Arabidopsis thaliana: one gene and its partners. The protein of the gene in region 1 interacts with the protein of each later gene in a pairwise test. Each region holds a gene or a part of one and is shown on either strand. Other genes may lie near its edges.

The links.
Region 2: the proteins of LUL1 (region 1) and GDU4 interact in a two-hybrid assay, tested with the Arabidopsis thaliana proteins (one study listed by BioGRID).
Region 3: the proteins of LUL1 (region 1) and GDU2 interact in a two-hybrid assay, tested with the Arabidopsis thaliana proteins (one study listed by BioGRID).
Region 4: the proteins of LUL1 (region 1) and GDU6 interact in a two-hybrid assay, tested with the Arabidopsis thaliana proteins (one study listed by BioGRID).

Annotation. Positions count from the first base shown.
Region 1 is NC_003076.8:758,962-765,145, reverse strand, and holds LUL1 (RING/U-box superfamily protein), read left to right. Parts: upstream 1-3,305; 5' UTR 3,306-3,478; coding exon 3,479-3,921; intron 3,922-4,038; coding exon 4,039-4,504; intron 4,505-4,591; coding exon 4,592-4,696; 3' UTR 4,697-4,827; downstream 4,828-6,184. Other genes in the region: DIP2 (E3 ubiquitin-protein ligase), read left to right, coding at 1,807-2,076; AT5G03204 (uncharacterized protein), read left to right, coding at 2,749-2,859; CPUORF47 (peptide upstream protein), read right to left, coding at 4,998-6,184. UniProt on the Arabidopsis thaliana protein: Acts as an E3 ubiquitin-protein ligase, or as part of E3 complex, which accepts ubiquitin from specific E2 ubiquitin-conjugating enzymes and then transfers it to substrates (in vitro).
Region 2 is NC_003071.7:10,556,050-10,561,715, forward strand, and holds GDU4 (glutamine dumper 4), read left to right. Parts: upstream 1-3,123; 5' UTR 3,124-3,429; coding exon 3,430-3,900; 3' UTR 3,901-4,190; downstream 4,191-5,666. UniProt on the Arabidopsis thaliana protein: Probable subunit of an amino acid transporter involved in the regulation of the amino acid metabolism. Stimulates amino acid export by activating nonselective amino acid facilitators.
Region 3 is NC_003075.7:13,112,961-13,118,404, forward strand, and holds GDU2 (glutamine dumper 2), read left to right. Parts: upstream 1-3,067; 5' UTR 3,068-3,188; coding exon 3,189-3,578; 3' UTR 3,579-3,995; downstream 3,996-5,444. Other genes in the region: AT4G25770 (alpha/beta-Hydrolases superfamily protein), read right to left, coding at 4,929-5,110, 5,288-5,411. UniProt on the Arabidopsis thaliana protein: Probable subunit of an amino acid transporter involved in the regulation of the amino acid metabolism. Stimulates amino acid export by activating nonselective amino acid facilitators.
Region 4 is NC_003074.8:12,349,526-12,354,697, forward strand, and holds GDU6 (glutamine dumper 6), read left to right. Parts: upstream 1-2,946; 5' UTR 2,947-2,983; coding exon 2,984-3,319; 3' UTR 3,320-3,508; downstream 3,509-5,172. Other genes in the region: QQS (qua-quine starch), read left to right, coding at 40-201. UniProt on the Arabidopsis thaliana protein: Probable subunit of an amino acid transporter involved in the regulation of the amino acid metabolism. Stimulates amino acid export by activating nonselective amino acid facilitators.

The DNA of each region.
Region 1 (6,184 bases):
CAAATGATCAGCTCCGTATTGTATCTATGCTTATGTTATGTTCGAAAAATGGACTCCTAAAAATGACACATTACAAAAAAAAATAAAAATAAAAAATAGCTTCGAGGCCTTTGAGGGTAAAAGCTCTAACCTCTCTCATAAAAGAATTAAAAATGGATCTTTGGATATCAAGAAAATTATTTTGAAATAATTAAATTGAACCAAAATCAGAAAACAAAACACATGACATTGTTGATTTGTCGTTTACTAAACCGATTTTCATTTGCCTAATTCTATTTTTATTGTGTTAGATCAAATAATGATGTCATCTTGTGTGTTTTACAACTAATAATAATTAAATTAGCAATTAACTATGGTAGACCTTAGCTTCGACCACCCTATACAAGCATATATCAATTTCGGTTATCAAAAAAAAAAGAAAAAAGAATCCGTTTGTAAAATTTTGCTAGTGAATTATATCTCTAATCCATATTCTCGATTGATGAAACATTATTCTGACATACATTAAAAAATTAGTTTAAGAATATTTTTGCAAAACTTATGCGATGTGATAAGCTCACTTTTTTTAGGTGACATGTTCGATCATAAGGTGCCAATAATTCCCTAGAAATAGATTAATCTCTATGTAAAATATCGAATCGTCTAGTGACAAGTACATGGTATACCTACCTATTCACTTATTATTTCTATTTTTGTCGTCCTCATGCATCTTATGTTATAATATCAAATGACGGAAAATGAGGGATGAATTCTATAAGCTAAGAAAACTAAAATAAGGGGGAAATTGCAAGAAGAATGAAAGCAACCTTTCAAATATCCTTATCTTATCCAATCCTTTTCAGGCCATTGACTTATTTTCTAATTAACCTAATTATATATATAAGAAAAAGCTAAGGCATCTTATATTTATATATACATATATCAATTGATTGCTAATAATGTTTTGATTAACTCTGCATATGGCATGTTTTCCAGCGATTTAAGTTCACAAAGAAGATTTTCGTTTTTGTCATCACTAAAAATTATCTAGTTCTTTCTACTTTTTCAGCGTACAATAATCTTTTTTTCTATCAATTGGTACGTTTTTTATTTTCTCAATTTTAATTTTGTTTTCTAGGTACATTTTTAATCGAATTGCACCAAAATATCCAAACAAATCAATAAAACAGGCAGAATGAGGTATTACCGTATTAGTTAAACGAGAAGTGGCTACTTTCCTCAGCGTGATTAAAATGCTTATGGGTTCAGTTTCATAATTCTCATATACGGAACTACGCATTTGACCTCATGCTCTCTATAAATATTAAGATCTGATGTTGAGAGCCCATTAGAACTAAGTTTACGAATGAGCCCATGATAGTTTAACTTGGGCCTAATTAGTGTCTAATCTGCTTCTAACGTTACCGAGTCAAACGCGGTCTAAACTAATTTGTAGAGTAGTGTATTTGTCCAAAGCGTACCCACACAATTGCTGAGAAACTTCAAACCCTAAGTGTGTGTCTAGTATTTTGCAATATACGACGCATAAAGAAATATCCTAACATTGACAACAACAAAAAAAAATCTTAGCGGAGATATAGACGTGTGAGACAAGAGCTCACACGTGTTGCACATTCGAGACTTGTTGATAATGACGACAACAAGAGGTTCTAGAATATTCGTGTTGGTTTCATTATTATTAGCAAATAAGACCAAGTCAACAAACTAACTTAAACATTGTGGATCGTCCACTTGTCCGACTCTTACGTCAAACCCATCATTGTTCCACATATCTCCACGCGTCAATCTCTCTATAAATACGAACAAATGAACACGTATCAATTCAACTCAAAAAGTAACAATTTGAATTACTTCCGCAAATCTAAAATAATATCTAGTGAAGCGAATATGTGTTTCTTTGATAATCGGTGCGATCAGAATCTGACGGTGGTGGTGGATGTGGCGTGGTGGATGGAGGCTGTTCCTCCACAAATCATTTCTCCGGCGAAGCCATCGGTTTCTCCGATTCTTGAGACGATTTTAGAAGGCGGAGAGACCGAAGAAGACAATCAAGAACAAGAAAACGAGGACGTGTAAATTGTAATGATCATTTTGTTACTCGGTCTTGGGTTTAAGATAGACTCTTGTTGTTGTTGTTGTTTTTTCTATAACTGTATAAGATGAGATTTTGTATTGTATCTTTTGTACAATCAAATCTCAGTTCTTTGTGAAATTTTCATTCAACTTTCACATCTTGTACGCTCGGTGATCTGTTGTTATATGCTCACGAGTTGGTAATTAAAGACAAATCTTAATATACTTTCTAACCGAACCGGGACGATAACCGGTCCACGACAAAAAATCAGTATCTTCAAATATCAAACCAAACTTAAACCTGAAACCAGTCTCACCGCTATTTCTGTTTGGTGCGATCATTTTCTCAACCAAAAGAATCTAATTTACATTAATTTTTAATAAAGACATGTATGATTTATCTGCAAACTAAAGCAGTGTACGCATACTTATGTTTCAACTTTCGAGCATCACCTAAATATGAAACATAAATATCACGTGCGATAAGTATTAAGCTGCGTCCTATAAAAAAGTATACAAATATATAAAGATCACTTGATGATTAGTTAATTACACTACTACTATTCCTCTCTATCTCTATAAATATCAGCAATAACAATAATTTCCACATAGATCTTCTCAACACAGTCGAAAGCTGCCGAAGTCTAAATCGAAGAAAGAGTATATTTACAAATCATGGCTAGGATGATCGGACCATTCGAAACTGTACCGGCGATTCTTGTTTATCCGATGAGGGTTTCAGCTTCGCCTTCGCTGGGGACAATTTATGAGGAACACGATGAGTAAAATTTTAACAAGACAAGATCAAAACTCGAGTGTTTAATTATTTTTTAATCCATTTTAATGAAATATTCATTTTGAAATATATCTTGATAGTGCTTTCTATTTCTTGGTTGATTTCCACTTTAAACTCTTTTTTATCGACGTTATTATGATCTCCTATATAATCAGACATAAGAGAAGATGTTTCTTAATGACGATCAGTGCAAGATGTTTCTTAATGACGAGCAGTGCTTCTTGTAATCGCCGGTATTAATGGATGTGTTTCTTTGTTTTCCGATCAACCTCCAAAACCAATCTCGTGTCTCCGGTTTTGTCATTTCGTTTCTTCTTATTTTGTAACCGTGATATTGTTGTGAGGCCTTGGGCCTATTGCCTGCCTAGTGCTACTGATAATGATTTCTTTGTTTTATGTGATTAAAAGTAATAATCAATTTCCCATGGTAATTAATCAAGTTTAATACTAATTTATAATATATACAAATAAACGTTTTGGTGTTTCTTCGTCGACGTCGCTATCTCCAATCTCATTACTCCCCTTTCTCAATGATCATAAAACCTACTTCGATTCTACTCCTTATCAACTGAATCACCGAAAAACCTCACCTTTTTTCTTTTTCCGATCATGGGGAATCTGATCAGTTTGATCTTCTGCTGCGGGAGAAGGCAGAGGAGCAATATTCCTCCGGCGATGGAAACGGCTCCTCTTGAACTCCCACCGAACAGATTTGTATTCGCCGCCGTGCCACCATATCTGAACCCTAACCCTAACTACGTTGACCAGTATCCAGGTAACTGCCTTCCTCCGCCAGTAACTGAGCCGCCGATGCTACCGTACAATTTCAACCATTTGCATCACTATCCTCCCAACAGTTACCAACTACCTCATCCTTTGTTTCACGGCGGTAGATACCCTATACTGCCGCCTCCTACGTACGTCCACCAGAAAGCCGTCACGATTCGTAACGATGTTAATCTGAAGAAGAAGACTTTAACGCTCATACCCGACCCGGAGAATCCGAATCGACTTCTTGTCTCCTTCACATTTGATGCATCCATGCCCGGAAGGTTTTACTTTCAAACTATGAAATGATCAAATTTAGTTAAAAGTTTGAATCTTGTTTGAATCAATCAATGGAGTAATATAAATGACTTAGCTTTTGTTGTTTTGGTTGGCGAGAACAGGATCACAGTTGTTTTCTTTGCTACAGAAGATGCAGAATGTAATCTTAGAGCTACAAAGGAAGATACTTTGCCTCCAATCACTTTTGATTTCGGAGAAGGACTTGGTCAGAAGTTCATACAATCATCTGGAACGGGTATAGACTTGACGGCGTTTAAAGATTCCGAGCTATTCAAGGAGGTGGATACAGATGTCTTCCCGTTGGCGGTTAAGGCGGAGGCAACTCCAGCGGAAGAAGGAAAGTCTGGTTCCACCAATGTGCAGATTACTCAAGTGGTGTATACCAAGGAGAAAGGAGAGATTAAAATAGAAGTGGTGAAGCAGATACTATGGGTGAATAAGAGGAGGTATGAGCTGCTTGAGATTTATGGGATTGAGAACACGGTTGATGGTTCCGATGAGGGAAAGGAATGTGTTGTATGCTTGTCTGAACCACGCGATACAACTGTTCTTCCTTGCAGACACATGGTATAGTGTTCATCATACTTAAAATTAGCTCATATAAAAAAAAAATTGAACTTCTTTTGAAATGGTTTGTGTATTTCTGTTTGGCAGTGTATGTGTAGCGGGTGCGCAAAGGCGTTAAGGTTTCAGACAAATCTGTGCCCAGTTTGCAGACAACCTGTTGAGATGCTTTTGGAGATTAACAAGAACGGATGAAATGGAGATGGAGAATGAACAAATTTAGTTAAGCAATCGACTTGTGTAATATATGCCATGCTTAATTAAGACGTAAAACGTTATGGTTCAATATATTATAAGTGGAAACTGAGTTCTTAAATAGCAATGATAAACAGATAGGCAGCTTCTTATTTAGTTATAGGTGCTTGGCCAGGAGCTGTGGTGGCCGAGGACCAACTATGGCAAACACAGAAGGTGATGGCATTACAACTGAGACAAAGACAGACACGAATCGACGTAGATAAGACTAAGGCGAAGCGAGATTGAGTTTTACATTGGTTTAGTCTTCCCACCATTGATGAACAAACACACCTCTGGCTCTCAGAGTTTGAAGCATGTTGATGCAGTCTGACTTGTGGTTGGAACAGCGGAGGAAAAGCTCATCCACGTAGCATATGACTCCTGTTTCCAGTAAAACAGTTAGGAACTTCATTTCCACTTGGTTTGTGTTCATCTTAAGGACTACAAAGTCTGCGTATTTCGCAGTTTCCTCAAACCAAGCAAGGAAATCGAATCTCTCATCTTCTGGAAATGGTTCTAGCTGTTCAAGCGGAGTTATCTTTTTCCCTGTCGAGTTGTTCTCAGCCAAATCCGGATGGTAAACAAAGGTGACGCCGGGTTTCTTGACATAGGATAGCATTACTGAAGTGTTGTGGTCGACAAAGTAGACATTGAATGCTTTGCTGTCGAGTGGGTATAACGGAAAGAACCAGTTTGGAGTTAAATTAGCATCCATGTGCTCGGCTGCTCCAATGTCAATGTAGACAAGGCTCTTTTTCAGAGAGAGATCAAGGAATTTAGGTAAGTAAGCTACTGATTTTGGGAAATCAGCAGGCTTTTGCTCCAGTAGAGGTTCCATGAACTCTGTGTAAGGTCTATTGGTGTCAACAGATTTGCAATCTCTTGGTAGCTGAGACTTTCCAATACAATAAGCAGTCTCCGTTACATTCCTCTTGAATACAATGACGGTGAACTTATCCAAGTTGTTCACACGCACTATCTCAGACTGCTTAAGCCCCGAAGTCACGGATTTGACAAGACGATTGGCATTAGTACTCACAAGGACTGCTCCGGTTCCACCAGGCTTCAGAACCCGCTCCATCTCAAGCACAAGAAGAGCAGGGGAAGCAACATGATCAACATCCCCACAGAGCACGAAATCAAAAGACTTGTCACCACTAAGCTCAAGCTCGTTGACATGCTTCCTACTGAAAAAGGAAAACAATGGATGCTTAGGAACCCCTTGAACAACTGAGAAACCCATCTCTTTGAACCCTGAAACAGCAGAATCCGATCCCTGACCAATGCAGAGAATCTTAGCATCATAATGCAATAGCTTTAACCCCATGAGCTCATCAACGAGATCAGCAATTACCACTTGTGGATACTTCTCTGTCTCAATTTTACCCCAGAATGGTTGAACGAGCTTATGGAAGAACAATTTCGGTCCTGGAATAACAAATCGGC
Region 2 (5,666 bases), on another chromosome or scaffold:
AAACACCATTTTATTAAAATTTATAGTTTATATGAAAGAAAAAAAATGTATATATGACCGCACTAACAAAATGTAATATATGATGAGATTTACAGGAAGAAAAAAAAAAGCAAAATATGGTGCAAAATGTATAAAAGAACAAAACTAATTAAGCAGAAGTTAGAAATCCGATCTTAACTTTAAAAACATAACATACCAACAAGCCCAAACAATAATTCTAAACACAATTTCATCATACAAATCCATTATAAATGCATCTAACCTAATGACTGGAGGATCATATACATCAAACCTAACTGCAAAAATGTATCAAAGAGAATCTGTAAAATGTTTAATATGCTTTAAGATTGTCGATTATATAAAAGTATATATAAAGTTAAATGTAAATGGAAGCGCTAACACAAACAAACAATGGAAACCATGTAAAATTTTGGCAATGATGCATCTTTCAATAGAAATAAAATGTTCTTCAAAAGATTATGCATAAACAGTCGAAGCATACAAACAACACAAGATATTTATTAATGTTATCCATATCATATGATGCGAAAACGAAATCACCGAATACCAGAGGAGAAAGATAAGCATTTAGATCACATCAATGCACCAATCGAGAAAATGGAAAATGAAGACAAGATGCACAAAGAGGTTTGTTGGGACTTTACCCCACAATGCTCATTCCCTCTCGTCCTTTCCCAATCATTTCTGTCTCTCTTATAATTGTGCAAACATTGTCATTTACCACCAAAGCAAATGTGCTCTTTCACTGTGCCTTATGTCGCACTAATATCTTTGTGGGCCTCTATAATCATCACAGATTTTGCGGGAAAAGGTAAAAATTCTTAAAAATATATATTGTATAAAATTAAACTGCTCTTCATCTTTTGTCAACATATATATTAAACTACTTCGAACACTGATATGCATTTTAAAGCATTTTTTAGAAAGACTTGAGTTAAACTAGTTTATTTACTGAGTTAATGTTTTTGGATAAATGATTCGTTCAAAAGTGAATATTTGGAACTGATCGATCAAAAGTTTTGTTGACTAGAGATAGACTGAGAGTAAACTACGCTATAGATATTCTGTATGCATTTTTTACAAAGACTTAAGATAAACTTGTTTATTACTGAGTTAATGTTTTCGATAAATAATTTCTTTAAAAGTAAATTTTTGTAGTTGGATCAAAAGTTTTCTTGACTAAAAAATGGACCGAGAGAAAACTACGCTATAAATTTGAAGGTTTGAACTCTTTATGTTTTTGACAAAAATAAGAACCCTTTATGTTCGGTAACTTCGATTAGTTAACTGGACTTCATTTAACTAGTTTAATTTCATTAGTCGATATAATTTTTCTGCCATTTTAATGGTATAAACGCCTATGTTTCAAGGGTAACAGAAAATAAGTATTAAGTTTTTCTCTTCTTTAGTTCGCAATGTGAATACATAGATGATTCCAAAATATGCTTTCTTATATATTTGTAAGAATTTAGTTTGAAAAACAGACATGGTCCTTTAAAATGGAACCTGTGAAAAAATATAAACTTAATTCTTTTAACAAAAAGAAAAGAAAAAGTTTATAACATTTGGGGCACAAATTTGCACCTGATCACTACATTTTAATATGATGACAGCTTTATGGATTATTGAGGTAGTGCACCTGGTGCACGGTAGTTGGTGTGATAGTAACAATTGGAAAAAAAAAAAAAAAAAAATCCCACATATGACTTTTATTTGCACTTTTGAAATTTTTTTTCTTTATTTTTCTTTTAAAAATATATTTTTAATATGTAAAATTACTAAATTAACTTTCTTAAATTAATAACAATTAATCAAAAACATATATATTTTAATATCAAATCAATTTATTTGTAATAATTAAAATAATTCAAAATATATATTTAGGGTAATAAATTTTTGAATTTGTTAGTCTTTTATAACTAACAATTCCAAATCTTTATTGCCCTAAATATGTTTTTCTAAACAATAATGACTAACAATATTCTACCGATATTAAGTCATGATTTTTTTTAAGCCATGTGTTATGGTGCAGATTTTAATATTCATTATTATTGTAAAACATTAAATAATTTACTTTGCAAAAAAAAAAGGAGAATTATTGAATTCAAGCAAAGTTTGGTGATATGTTAAGTTGAAAATTGTGTTTGGACTACTCGAGATTATTTTATTTTATATAAGTCCGATTGGTAACACAAAACTGTACAAAATTTTAGCTGTTAGCTATAACCAAAACTTTTTTTGGAATAGTGCAAAGTTGTACAAAAGAATTATACGAGAAAGCTGTACAGTAAAGTTAAGAGTAAAACTTTTTGTAATGTTTTTGATAAAGTTAATTTTTGCGAATGATAACTCTCAAAATAGTACAAGTTATATCGCTTTGAGAATGTGTTACCATTTAAAACCTATAACATGACAAATATTAAGTGATAGACTTTATAATACTTTTAGATATAGAAAAATTGAGAGATAGAAAATTTCTTCATCCAAAAAGAAAGAGAGAAGTTGGATTCCCAATTTGCGGGATCCCAAAAAAATAAAATCCCCATTAGGCATCATAGTGTGTCCTCACAAGAAGATAGATATCGTGCCATAAATTAGAACTGAGAGTAAGGGGTCTTGGAATCCATCTCTCACTCTCATTCCTCTGTCACTTCCAGAAACCAAACTATTCATCTATCTAAATTGATCTATTTGGCTTAAAGTATCTTAGAGTCATCAAGAGGAAACCCCTTGTCTTTCCAAAAACTTTCTCGATATCATGCTATCACTGACATATTATTGGATATAAGACTTATAAGTCTAATACCCAATTATTGTAGTTTGTGTAGTTGATTGATGTCAAAGTTCATATGGTTTCAAATTTATTGGTAAATATTATGATTGATATCCTTTTTTTGATTTTAAAAATCACCATTTATATATTTTTCAACAACCGTTAAGCAAAAATTTTAAACCAATCTGCGGTAGTTCTTGTAGGCATTTTTCAAGTTTTTTTTAGTGTAGTTTCTTAAAGATACTAAAATTTAATTTATCGTGTCTAGTTTAAATTTGTGTAATTAATGTTCGCTATCTTTCTTTAAAAAAACAAGCACCTTAACATATATATGTGTCTATAACAAAGTAAGTTTGAGTACATAATATTGCATGCAAATATATGCGGCAAAACTAAAAAGTAATAAACGGCAAATGAAAAAAAAAGCTGCTTTAATTCAAATAATTAAATATTCGGAGTGACTCACTTTCTTTTTCCCCAGGGACTTCTTACCTATAAATATAACACCTCACCACACCCATTGTTTCATTCATCTTTCCAGCTTTCTTCACTTTTTCCTTTATATAAAGTTAGAAAAACAAAAAAAACAAAATAGTTAGAAAAAATCTGAGAGAAACAGAAGAAACATAAAAAAAATGAGGCCATTGAGCATTAAACCAACATCGTTAGATGTAGCTAGACATGCCACATCAGTAGAATCATTTGGGAATCACCGACCGCCGATATCGCCGTGGCACTCACCGGTGCCGTACCTATTCGGTGGTCTTGCGGCGATGTTAGGCCTCATAGCCTTCGCTTTACTTATCCTAGCCTGCTCTTACTGGCGCTTGTCAACCTCCGGTGATGACTCCGGCGAAAGAGTCGACGAGGAAAAAGAGAGTCGGTCTGGAGTGAAGGCGGCTAGCGCGGCGTGCGAGGAGAAGGTTCTTGTCATAATGGCCGGAGATGACTTGCCGAGGTTTCTGGCCACGCCGGCGGCGAACAAATGCATGTGCGGTCACGAGGGTAGAATGGTAATTTTCAAGGAGGATGGTATTGGTGCTGGAGAGGAGAAAATGGGAGACAGAGAGAAAGCCAAAGAAAATGAAGAAACAACGAGTCAGTGAGCTTTTTTGTTTTCTTTTCTTCTCTCAGTCTTGTCTTTTTTTTTTTGTTGGGGAATTTTCCTTCGTGTTTTCACGGGAAATGTAAAATTTACTGAGAGAAAATTTTGGGTTATGATTAATGAATGTTTGCTTGTAATTTCCTATCCCCAATGGTGGAAAACTCGTTTTTAGTTTTTGTAATTCTCAAAAGTGTGATAGGTAACCTTTCTCATACAGCTTTAATACCAATCAGTAATAGAGTAAACTAAAACGGAATAACATAATAGTACTTAAAATTCTTACAATTTTATGTCATCACTAAGATCTACAAAAAAATGAATCATAGTATCATAACACTATGTTTGCCCAAAAAAAAAAAAAAAAGTATCATAACACTATTGATCATAAATTCAAAGCTTGCAATGTTTCGATGGAAACGTGATTCATCCCGTACACAAACTGTAATTTTATATACATTTTCAGAAACTAATGTAATGCATTAACCCTTTTGTATTACGTATATATTCTCACATTTTATATTTTGTAAGGAGATTCGTTTAGTTACTTTAATTATGAATTGTTATAATTGTGTCTCCTCCATGTATTTGTGTTACTTTCATATTTTCCTTGCATTTATATATTTTATTTACCATAGGATAGTTCTGAATTTGCTATCAACTTGGATATTTTAAATTAATTGAGACTCCATCTAGTTCACCGTCAAATTTTAACTATACTTGTTTAACTATACTTGTTATATAACGAGTGAATAAACTGGAAATAGTATTACTATTAACTATGAACTTACATTCGTAATATTCGAAAATATGTGCGTGAGTTAGTCTTGTCACAAGAAAAGGAATCATATTCTTTTTTTCATTAAACAAAAATTGGAAACACATATTATGGTATAAATCAAAAGATAATTCGATTACTTGCCCCATTTGCCTGCTTTACTTTCAATTTGATAATATCCCATCAACAAGAGTCTTGTTACATGACCAAATTTTCTTCTGTTCTCACGTTATTAAGTATTTTGAAGTGAAGTGCACTCCAAACAAACGTCTAAAACTTAAGGTTTGTATAATCCTCAATCAAAAACATTTTACAACTTATTTCTATTTTTTTATATTGGGGTCTTTTTCCCAGCTACTAATATACGATCACTTAAGTAATTTTTTGTAAAAATCATTAAAAATCCTAATAAACTCATTTGCGTAGTTCAATTACACACATACATATGTAGTAATATAAATATTATTTTCCGTTTTAAATTATCGTAAATGGAATGTCATTTAGAATTTTAATTTTATTCACCACAAATGTTTTTTTCTGTTTTAATATATTTGTTTGTTAAAATTTATATTTTCGTCGCTAATTAGTCCACTGAAATTATAATCCACAGGCTAGATAATCCACTGATTTCAACAAAGGTGAAAAAATTATATAACTAATATTTGTCCATTAGTAGTAGCTAATTAATTGAAAACGTTTGTTCTCTGAATCGAAAGAGCTGCATAAGAGAAAGGGGACACGTGTCAAAAACAGAGTTTAATATGAAAGCGAAGACAATGATTCTGTTTTGACTTATTTGTCATTTGCTGAGCTGTCTTTAGAGGCGCCGAGTAGCCGCGTCTCCCGCAAGAAAGTTCCAAAGCAATACTTCTTCTTTCATTGCATTCATTTCCCCAACTGTCTCAAACTTTGTGCCGCATAAGCAAAAGGTACAAATAAAATAATAATAAAAATAAAGGATGGCGAAAACAAAATTACTTGTATCAAACAAG
Region 3 (5,444 bases), on another chromosome or scaffold:
GGCACACAATTTGCCAAACCATTTTTACAATTACATATTAATGACGTGACCAGTCCTGGATTTGAAGGAGTTTCTATAAAAACAATCTGGCTTAAACGTTAGTTAGTTATAGTTACTTGTGGTTGCTTTTACTTTAGGTATATCACCGTACATGCAAATGAATAAACTTTAGGAGTTAATAGGTGAAATAATTGTAAATGGTACAATTTCTTTATCTATGAAAGAAAATATTCTAAACAGAATTTGAATCATATTATAGTAACTTGTTATACATATCACATATGTGATATGTTTATATAGTTTGTTATACTAATAAAGCATTCTCTTCACTTTCTTTGGCCATCAATATATCCGTATCTCATGTTGTGTTTTTCCTAAATTTCTACACATAATAAAAAGTAGCATGTTGTTTCAAAGCCCCTTAACGGGTACAAAAACAAGAACAGAGTGCAGGGCTAAACAGAAGAAAATTGACATTAGGAAATCAGAAATAAGCCCATTTGAATGTGGATCAATATTGAAAAAAATGTGTGAAAAGCAACTTGCAATGTCACAAGATAAATATACCATGCCGTATATATCATAACTGCAAGAACAGACCCAAAACTGAAAAGTGAAAAGAATGTGTGTGGGTAAGTTAAAGAGTAATGAAGGCCGACAGGCGACAGTGGAGGAGGATGGACCAGACCAGGGTGCTGGGCGATGAGGACGTCTCGGCTAAAAGCTGAACCACCCTCCACTCTTAGGTCCCACAAAGGCTGGTCCTCGTTCACAAATGTACTCTCTCAAAGAAACACCCCTTTCTGCTTTATTACTATTCCCTCTCGTTCCTCCACTTTTTTGTAGCAGCTTCCACATGAATCATGTCATAACTGTTACAACATATTCCAAAAAAAAAACTATAGAATATATGTAGGAAATGTTAATCACTCTGTTTTTTTTGTATCTTTACTCTTTGTTTCTTCTCACTAGATACCGTCCTATACTTCTATTAGTGCATAACACTTCCTTAGACACTTGCTTTTACACTTTCCAAAATTATTTTAAACATGTATGTATATGATCATGTCGCCATGGTTGACGATATATACAATTATTGTACTTTCATCTCCTTTTCTCATCTTTTCTTTCAATAAACCTTATTTTTATTACCATATCTTCTCTTTTTCTTGCTAGCAAATGTTGATTATTTTATTGTAATTAAACTGTTGTTTATGACTTAATGTTCAAACTTCAAATAACATGTGTGAACTGTGAGGCATGCAATAATGATATTTGTTGCATATCTATCAGTTTTTAAAAGTGTCATCATAGCTCTATAAAGCTGTCTATTTAAATTAGATATACCTATCTCAAGTTCACTAATCCGTATCTAAAGAGAAAGAAAAATATCTTGATAACTAAAAATGAGTTTTAGAATGTACGGAGATAAGTTCTGAAAAAAACTGAACGAGCCACCTTTAAAAGTAATTAGATGAAGAAATAAACACAATTTGAAAAACTACATGAAAGCTAATCTCTGACTTGAGAAGTTGAGATATTTGGAACCTTTGTTAATTCTTTCAACACCGAAAACGATTTCTTAGGAAATTTCAAAAGAAATAAAAGTAAAGAGGGCAAGTATTCTGATTGTTAACCAAGCACAAAATGAAGCACCCATCAATCAATCTTTTCAACAATCAACATACCGATTCTAATTGGTCTGGCAGAATAATTACCGGAAAGGAAGAAGAATAGAACTCCAATATTTAATTATCGTACTTAATCTGTTTGTTCGAGAAACTAAATAATGGGTTCCTAGGTATATGTATTTATTTTATACATTATCTTCACATGTAACGTGCCTATTTAACGAGAATATGATTCCCTATGATTCATGCACAAACACAAATCAAATCCGGAATTTAAGTCGGATCAGGGAATAAATTATACAGCCCACACACATAATAATTTAAAACTAATATATACACAGTGAGGGGATTTAAAAGTAAAACTTATCTCCAAAGATTAATGTAAGCGACTAGTGATTGTGTTGGCATATTAACCGCACATAACATTGTTTGGGGGTTTGGATGCTTTAAAAAAGGTTCTGCCTTAGAAATTCCTTTTAGTTGACGTAATGATATATTATTGCTTACTGTAATACTAGTGGACACATTAAACAATGATCTTAAAGTACGAATGAAGAAATTAAAGAAAATGGAAGAGGAAGAATGTGGAAATGGAGAACGTAAGTGAAAGTGATTGGAAACTAATGGAATATCCGTTTTTCCTTTAGTCATGGTGGAAGCTGACGCTGAGAACCTACCCCTCCAATTGCACTACTCGCTCTATTACTTTATCTAACCAGAAGTTTTTTAAATACCCTTTACTGTATATAGTTCTTACAGTTTTATACATATTGTTAAGAACTCCATATATAGTGTATAAATGGCATTGAAAATAGTTTTGAGTTGAAACTCCTAAATGATATTAAATCTTGAGTTTAACCTAATTAAGCAAAGTAATAAAAACTGATTAGCCAAAACAAAGAGGTTAGTTAGTTCAACAGTTAGGTTAATGTGCAAATTGCCGTAACAAGATTATTAAATAATTCTTAACTTTAATTAACCTCTATCCATTATTGCATTTAAAAGATACTATTAATTAAAAGCCACCAATAAAAATTTAAACTTTATTAAAGTACTAAAGACGGATATATTAAACAAAACAATTATGAAAAAAATAAGAAAACCAACTTAATACAAGTTCAAATTAACATCCAAAAGAAGGAAATATACATGATTTTACAAATGTCTTCATTGAGCCACCACGTTAAACTAATATCATTTTTGAGGTTGATTAAAAAATTATTCATGTAAGTATAAATGCAAAAAAAAACTACATCTCTATATCAAAAACCAATCAATTGTTTACTCCATTATGGAAGATGATTCCCTAAAAAATAATTTCGTTAATACTCACTCTACAAAGTACAAATAATGAATACTGACTTTTTTCATACATTCCAAAAAAATACTGAAAACTGAACCATACACAAATCCATTGCATTAAGAAACAATCCATCCCATACGTTCCTCTATAAAACGCCTCTCACAACACAATCTCATCTCCCACCAATAAATTAATTACTTTTTTAACAAAGAAAACTTTCATTTCATTCACTCTTCCCAAACAGTAAAACACACATGCAGACAATGGAAGGACGACAATATAATTACCAAGACAGCATAAACGCGAGCTCCTCCATGGTGGTGCCTCACTCGCCTTGGCACTCTCCGGTTCCTTATCTCTTCGGTGGTTTGGCCGCCATGTTGGCTCTCATCTGCGTCGCTCTTCTCATCCTCGCATGTTCCTACTGGAGACTCTCCGGCTCCGCTGAGAGAGATCTTGAGGCCGGAGATGATGCCAAACCCGACAATGACACCAACAAAACTAAGCACACAGAAATGCCGGAGAAGTTTCTCGTCATAATGGCCGGTGATGTCAGACCTACTTACTTGGCTACGCCAGCGACTCGGTCTGAGCAAAGCTGTACTTGCGGCGATCATAACGAAGAAGAAGGAAGAAGAGGGTAGTGATCAGGTGGTATAGCAGAGCACCGGAGGTTACGGTGAGCCCTCCCTCATATTTTGAAAACAGAGCATTCGTTACGGAGTACTCCGGAATCGATCCGTCCGGTCTTTTTGTGTCGGTTCATAATTACGCCAACCTTACGTGAGCTGATGGGATATAAATTAGAGTTTTATTTATTTCGTATGGTTTTAGTTTTTTTTTGGTTGTCTCAGTTTTCTTCAAATTTTTCCCGTTTATGGTTCATGAAGGAATATCCGGTACATGTAAATTTTAAGAGTTTGAATAGATGATTGTTTTGGACTAGCGATTAAAGATAGAACTGAAGCTTGACAGACAAAATAAATAAAAGATACAACTAAAATCGTGCGTCCTTAATTCAGTTTTCGTGTATAGAGAGACAAAAATGTTTTCCCAGTGAGAGATGTACAGACATGATGCTTACGAAAGAGGGAAAGAGATGTGTTGTGAAAACTTCTAGTGATGTGCCAACAATGACGCATGCCGAATATTAAGCTAATTCGTTGTGGCGAACCGAAGTTGAGAATTATTCTCTTTGTACCTTTATTCCTAAATTTCTAGATATATTACTAAATATCATCAAGTTTTATCAAAGAACAAATAGCCTCTCAACTATACATTTCTCTCTTTTTTTCTTTTCCAGGCATATCCATTTATCATTGTTTACCATTCACTGAAATTGAAAGCATTATCGTTTATCGTTGGACAATAAATTGTCGTCTTTTGGATGATCAGTACAATGTGAACAGTGACACATATAATGGATGGAGACTACTGCAACTAACTGAATAATTGTTTTTCTAGTATGGGCAATTGGTCACTGGTTGTGTCATGTGTTTACGTCCTTTCGTTTTCTTGTCCAATTCCTACTATGTTTATTATGTGAACGTGTCAAAACAAACGAGCTCGCAAATGATGCCAATAAAACTGGAAAACCAACAATAATTGTGGAAAAATCGACATTCAACTGGCGCCAAGTCTTATGATCAAAACAAAAACTTATAGAATCGATAGTGACAAGAGAAGTATGAACCTTTTTTTTTTACAAAGAACGGGTAGATCTGTACAGATTCATTGTTCGACAGAACTATAAAACATTTTAAATAACCATCAAGGAAAAAGTGCCAAGAACTTTACCACGATTTGTATCGCATCAAGCATCATACTAAATACGATATAAATAACCAACAAAAAAGAGAAGAAGTTTGTGATGCTTATCGCCTTCTTACAGTGCTGACTAATTGCAGCGGTTGAAAATGTTTAGGGCTAGAGACCGAAATGATCCATCATGTGGAAGACAACATCTTTGCCATCAGAATGTAACCAATATGTTTTCACCTACACATTACAGGGAAAATTATGTCAAATGCTCTTAACAAAATCGCTTTTGAGTTTTGAGTTCTTATCATTAAACTTGCCTGGATGGTACTATGCGCGACGTATCGTTGCTTGCTATTGTGAAAGCTGACATCTACTCTTTCCCAAGATAGTTGACTGAGTCCATGTATCATTTCCTCTACATTTCACAAAAACCATAACAGGACGAAGTTAGTGATTCTACTTGTTATAAAGAAGACCAATGGGTAATAGATAGCGAGGCAAGGATCTACCACATTCCATAAATCTGATAGAGATATCATTTTTTCTAGCAAATTTTGAAAAACAAATAGTCAAGTGAGAAATAAAGCAAAACCTTCAAGATCAGTATCTTGCTCTGTTACTACTGTAGAAGTTGACTGGCAACTACCATTGTCCACATTTCCACGTTCTACGTATACAATGTGTGGATAGTTTGGATCCGTTGCTAGAAGATTTGGCTGGAAGATGAGCAGGGATAATAGTTATTGATA
Region 4 (5,172 bases), on another chromosome or scaffold:
TTTCTTTAGTTTACTGAGATTAAATCTTTCGTTTTGTAGCAGGAAATTTACGTTGAAAGAAGCTTCAAACCAAACAATTCAACAATTCAGAATTTGATGGACATTGAAAGGTTCATTTTGCCTCACACTTCTACATCAGGTGTCGCAAGGCTCAAAATGAGGGTCATATCATGGGTCGGGCTTCAGTTCTACAACTACTGATATTGGGCCTTATCACAAATTAGTTATAGGGCCATTGTATCCAATATTTAATATCTCTGTAAACTTGTTTAATGGTTATTTTGTTCTAATGCCCATTACAACTAGACTTAATATCAATATAAATACTTTGTAAAATACTTTTTTTTTGTTAAAGAGTCACCAAATAGTATAAAATAAGGCATAAAATACAGTAATTATATGGATACTCTAAATACAGTATCCAACGACTAAATACAGTAATTATACGGTATAAATTACAATATAAAATATGGTATAAAAAACAGTATAAATTACAGTATTAAAATACAATATCCAGCGCTTAAATACAGTAATTATACGGATACTCTAAGAAAGCTATTGTTCAGCAACCCTTAAACTATCAATTATTACATAATTTAAATGCTATTATAAATTTAAAGTACTGCTATAGTTACGCAATTTAATAGCAAATAGTAATTGCTATTGTAAAATTAACAATAACACACAACAAAACGCTATATTAGTTGAAATTTTTATAGCAGAACCCAAACCGCTATATAAAGTGTTCGACCTACTATAACAAGCGCATACATAGTGTTTACTACAACGCTATAATATCTTATAATATTGTTTTTCCTGTGCTATTGATACTCACAATTCCTGTAGTGAATTCTTTGTCGCATAGTCTCATTCCGAATCTAGAACTTGACTGTCGTTTCATTGACTGCAAAAACATCGATCAGACTTGTTTTGTCTCCCAATCTCCATATTTTATTCACAATCATGTGAATGTTACCCACATGTGGAGCCTTTGTATTGAGAAATTTGCCAATCACAAAATCTTTCCATAACGGTTTAGCTCCTACAAAAACCTCTTTTGGGACAACAACTCTCCCTTGACCATCTACTTCATCAACCACAAACTTTTGTTTAGTAAAAACATGTTTTTGAGCTGCTTGAACGTATGACTTTTTGACTGTTGGACCCACCACCCTTTGAGTCTACGGAGATTCTCGTTGGCTAGATGCATGCCTCCATTGTGAAGTTTGATCATTGAGATCGATGGCCATGTTCTTTGAGATCCTCCTTCTGACTTACCTGAATCCATGTAGTTTGTATGCCTTTAACCTCTGTCGCCGGAGCTTCCTCCAGCTGCTCTGGAGAAGCCGACAGCTGCAGCATACATGCTGAAACTACAAAAACCCTAATCGAGTTAAGCTTTGTTCATCTTTCCACGTCTACAAAGCTTTTCAGTCTTACTAATCGAGTTAACAATATCATATTTGGGTTCAGACTTTCGGGTGACAAGTAATAGTATAACAAACAAAACCAAACCAAACCGTTTGGTTTGAGACAAAGGTTAACAAAACGATTGAACATATATTTTTTGGTTGGTTCATTTCCCTACTTTTAATAAAAATTAAATGACAGTCCCATTCACGACTTCCCTTTTGTGGACAAAAGCAAATATGAAATTTACTCGATGCTTCTATGTCCCGCTTAAAAAATGAACATAACTAAATGAAATCAAAGTCCCTAAATCCCAAAAGTTATAAAGACGACATTGCATGTTTTCTGTTTTTACTCAAACTACCAAACATAATGTCGTTTGGTTCCGTTGAATCATATGAATTAACGGTTGACTAACATCTGTTATATAAACTTATTTTTACACATAATTTAAAAAGTTAAGAAATCTATTTTTTAAAATTAGTCGTTAAGATAAAAAAGACATCAAATATTTTAGGGGAATTGACAAAAATAGCAATGAACAAGTTTTTCTTTCAGAAATAGAATATCTTTTGAAAACTTCCACAAAGAGCACTATTAACTTTAATTAAATATTAAATATAAAATAACTAATTTAATTAAAATAAATAAATAAAAGAAAATATTTCCCCCGCAAAAAAAAAATTGTCAAATTTTCTCACCAAAAAATTTAGGAAGGTAACTACGAAATTCGGGAAGGATTTCACAAAATTTAGGAAAGATTCTACAAAATTCAGGAAAGATTTTAGAAAATTCAGAAAAGGCTACACAAAAATAAAAATTATGAATATTGTGAAAACCTTCCTTAATTGCTTAGAATCTTTCCTAATTTTGTAAATCATGAATTTTTTTTTTTTGGTGGAAAAAGTTTGACAAAAAAAATTTCCCCGAAAACATTTTGGCGGGAAAGTTTTTTTGGAAATTCTTTTTTGATAAAGATACTTTATTATCTAATTTTATTTTTTGGCACTACAACTAAATAGTGTAGAAGTAATAATGTTTTTTTCGCTAAATACCTTTAACATTTACAAGTTTTTTTTATATATTTAGAACTAATGCTAAGCTTTACTTTAAGATATTGGAAATAATTATTTTTCATAATGTTTTAAACTCAAAACATTCATATATACCTAAATGAACTTTCACATATTTATGTTAATTTATAATAACGAAAAAATAACATTTGCATGCATGTATACCGTTTTTATATCTTGGTTCATGCACACCATTGTTTCCATTTCCAAGTGTCGGAAAAAATAAGTAAGAAGAACTAATGTAATGTCGTCATGACATGACACATGAACAATAAACAACAACAGATATAGTTAATAAAAGAAAAGAATATCTGAACGCACAAGGAATCTTCCTACTTCACTTTAAACTAAAATACGCCTACACTTCTTAGTGATCAATTAATTTAAAAATTATATATCAATTTTGTACAAACCTTCTACTATAAATTCCTTAATGCCCATAACTAAAATTCCATAGCTGCACTTACAACACAAGAAAAAAGAGACTACTAAAAATCATAATGAGGCCGACACCAAAAGTAGAAATCTGGAAGTCACCAGTACCATATCTCTTTGGTGGTCTCTTTTTGCTTGTTTTGCTTATAGCTTTGGCATTACTCTCATTGGTCTGCACACACCAAAAACCTTCTTCCTCTAGCAATAACAATCATATGGATGAAGAAGACGATGTCGGTGACAAGGACGCTAAGCCTATTACAAGAGAGTACTTACCTAAGATCGTGGTGATTTTGGCCGGAGACAATAAACCTACTTGCTTGGCTGTTCCGGTCGTGGTTCCTCCACCCACTTCCATTTTTCGTTGTAACTGTGACAATGTTACTGTCATCTCAACCTAACCATTAACATCTTTTTCTTCTTTTGCCGACAGAAAGATTAAGAGATTTCGACTTTTGTAATAATCAGCGGCAATTTTGTAACAGTCGATAATTTTTGTGGCAATGTTAGTATAGATTAAGTTTTGTGTTATTGCTTTTGTTTGTTGAGTTTGTTTTTGGAACAGCTTATGAATTATTGTTCTCTTTTTTTAGTACAATGTTTAAATTTAAAGATATATTAATTTGTCATACGAATTTTATTTTTCAAACATCATTTTTAGATCTTTACTTACAAAGTAGATGAGCATACTTTTTTTTTTTTTTGTCAACCGATATAAATTAGAACTCAAAAGAGTCAATCTCGAGGGATATTGTTTACATACGTGACATGATGCGGTACGGTACGAATCTTTCGTGCCAACTTATCCGCTTTTACATTTGCACTACGAGAAATTAAAGATAAAGAGAAATTTGTGAATTCTTCCCTATCACTTTGCAACTCCTCCAAATACACTGAAAACGCCGGCCATTCGGTTGGAGAAGACACCATCTTCACCAAGTCTGAACAGTTTGTAAAGAAAGCTAAGTAGATGAGCATACTTTGGGTTCGGAAATTGCAAATCTTTGATAAAAATTTTTAACTCATCGTAGAATGATTATATTGAAACGTCATCAATATCACTATGGAATTAATGTACCGATTGAAAAAATTATTATTAACAATATTTAGGGTTTGAACATGATAAATAATTCACAACAACAATACTAGTATACTCTAATTAATAGTAGAAGTAATGTGCATTAATAATGATAAAAGTATGTAAAATTTTAATGTGGGCTTTTCTAATTTCATTCACATAATGATAACTTTCACATTGATTGGCAGCTATTGGTGGACGCCGCGGCTTGAAAACGCAAAGAATTGGACGGTCCAAAGTGTGATCTTTTACTTTTGGACTATGTGGCTCTCAAGTGGTCGCCATCTTTTCTCGTGTGATCACTTTATTTGTGCGCTTATGCATATATACTAGATTTTAAAATAAAATATTTAATTTGTTTAATAAATTAAAAATAAATATAATTTATGTTTTATATTATCTAAATATACAATTTTTATATTTATATATATTTTTACTATAAAATTGCTATGTTTGATTTTTACTGTTTAAAAATATTAGAATAATAACATACTGTTTATTAAGTTAAAATCTAAATTATAAAAATAATTTAAATTTAAATTATTTTATTTTTTGATATTCTTTATTTTGTTTAGGGTTTAAGATAATATAATTTTATTTTGATTGTTATATCTAAAATTTTACCTGTGATATACCGTCTCGTATTACTATTCACTCAAACCCGTCCTACCATCTAATCTCGTTCAGTGAAATTAAACAATCTAATTAATTTCACCTGTAGTATATTCTCTCGTATTACTATCGACCCAAACCTGTCATACCATTTAACCCCCGTTCAATGAAATTAAACATTATTTTGTTATTTTTCTTTTAATAATATTTTAATTTAAAAGATATATAATTCAAATCAATCTAAAAATATATAATTCAAAATTCTCATATTATAGACATGTGAATGAAACCGTGCAAATTTTTGAAGAGATTTTTAGAAACGTTTGTTGAGCGCAATATAAAATATTTAAATTTTCAAATATGAATAATTAATACCAACTGATATATTGAGAGATTTTTGGCAACTATTGTTGAACGTAATATCTTGTATATAATTATCAACATTTGAAATTTAATGTCAATGACATTGTCTTGTAAATAAGTCTCTACTTCAGGATTTATTTTACTAAATGGCTGCAAAAATGTATATGTAGATATATATAGGTTTTTTGTTTTGAAACATTA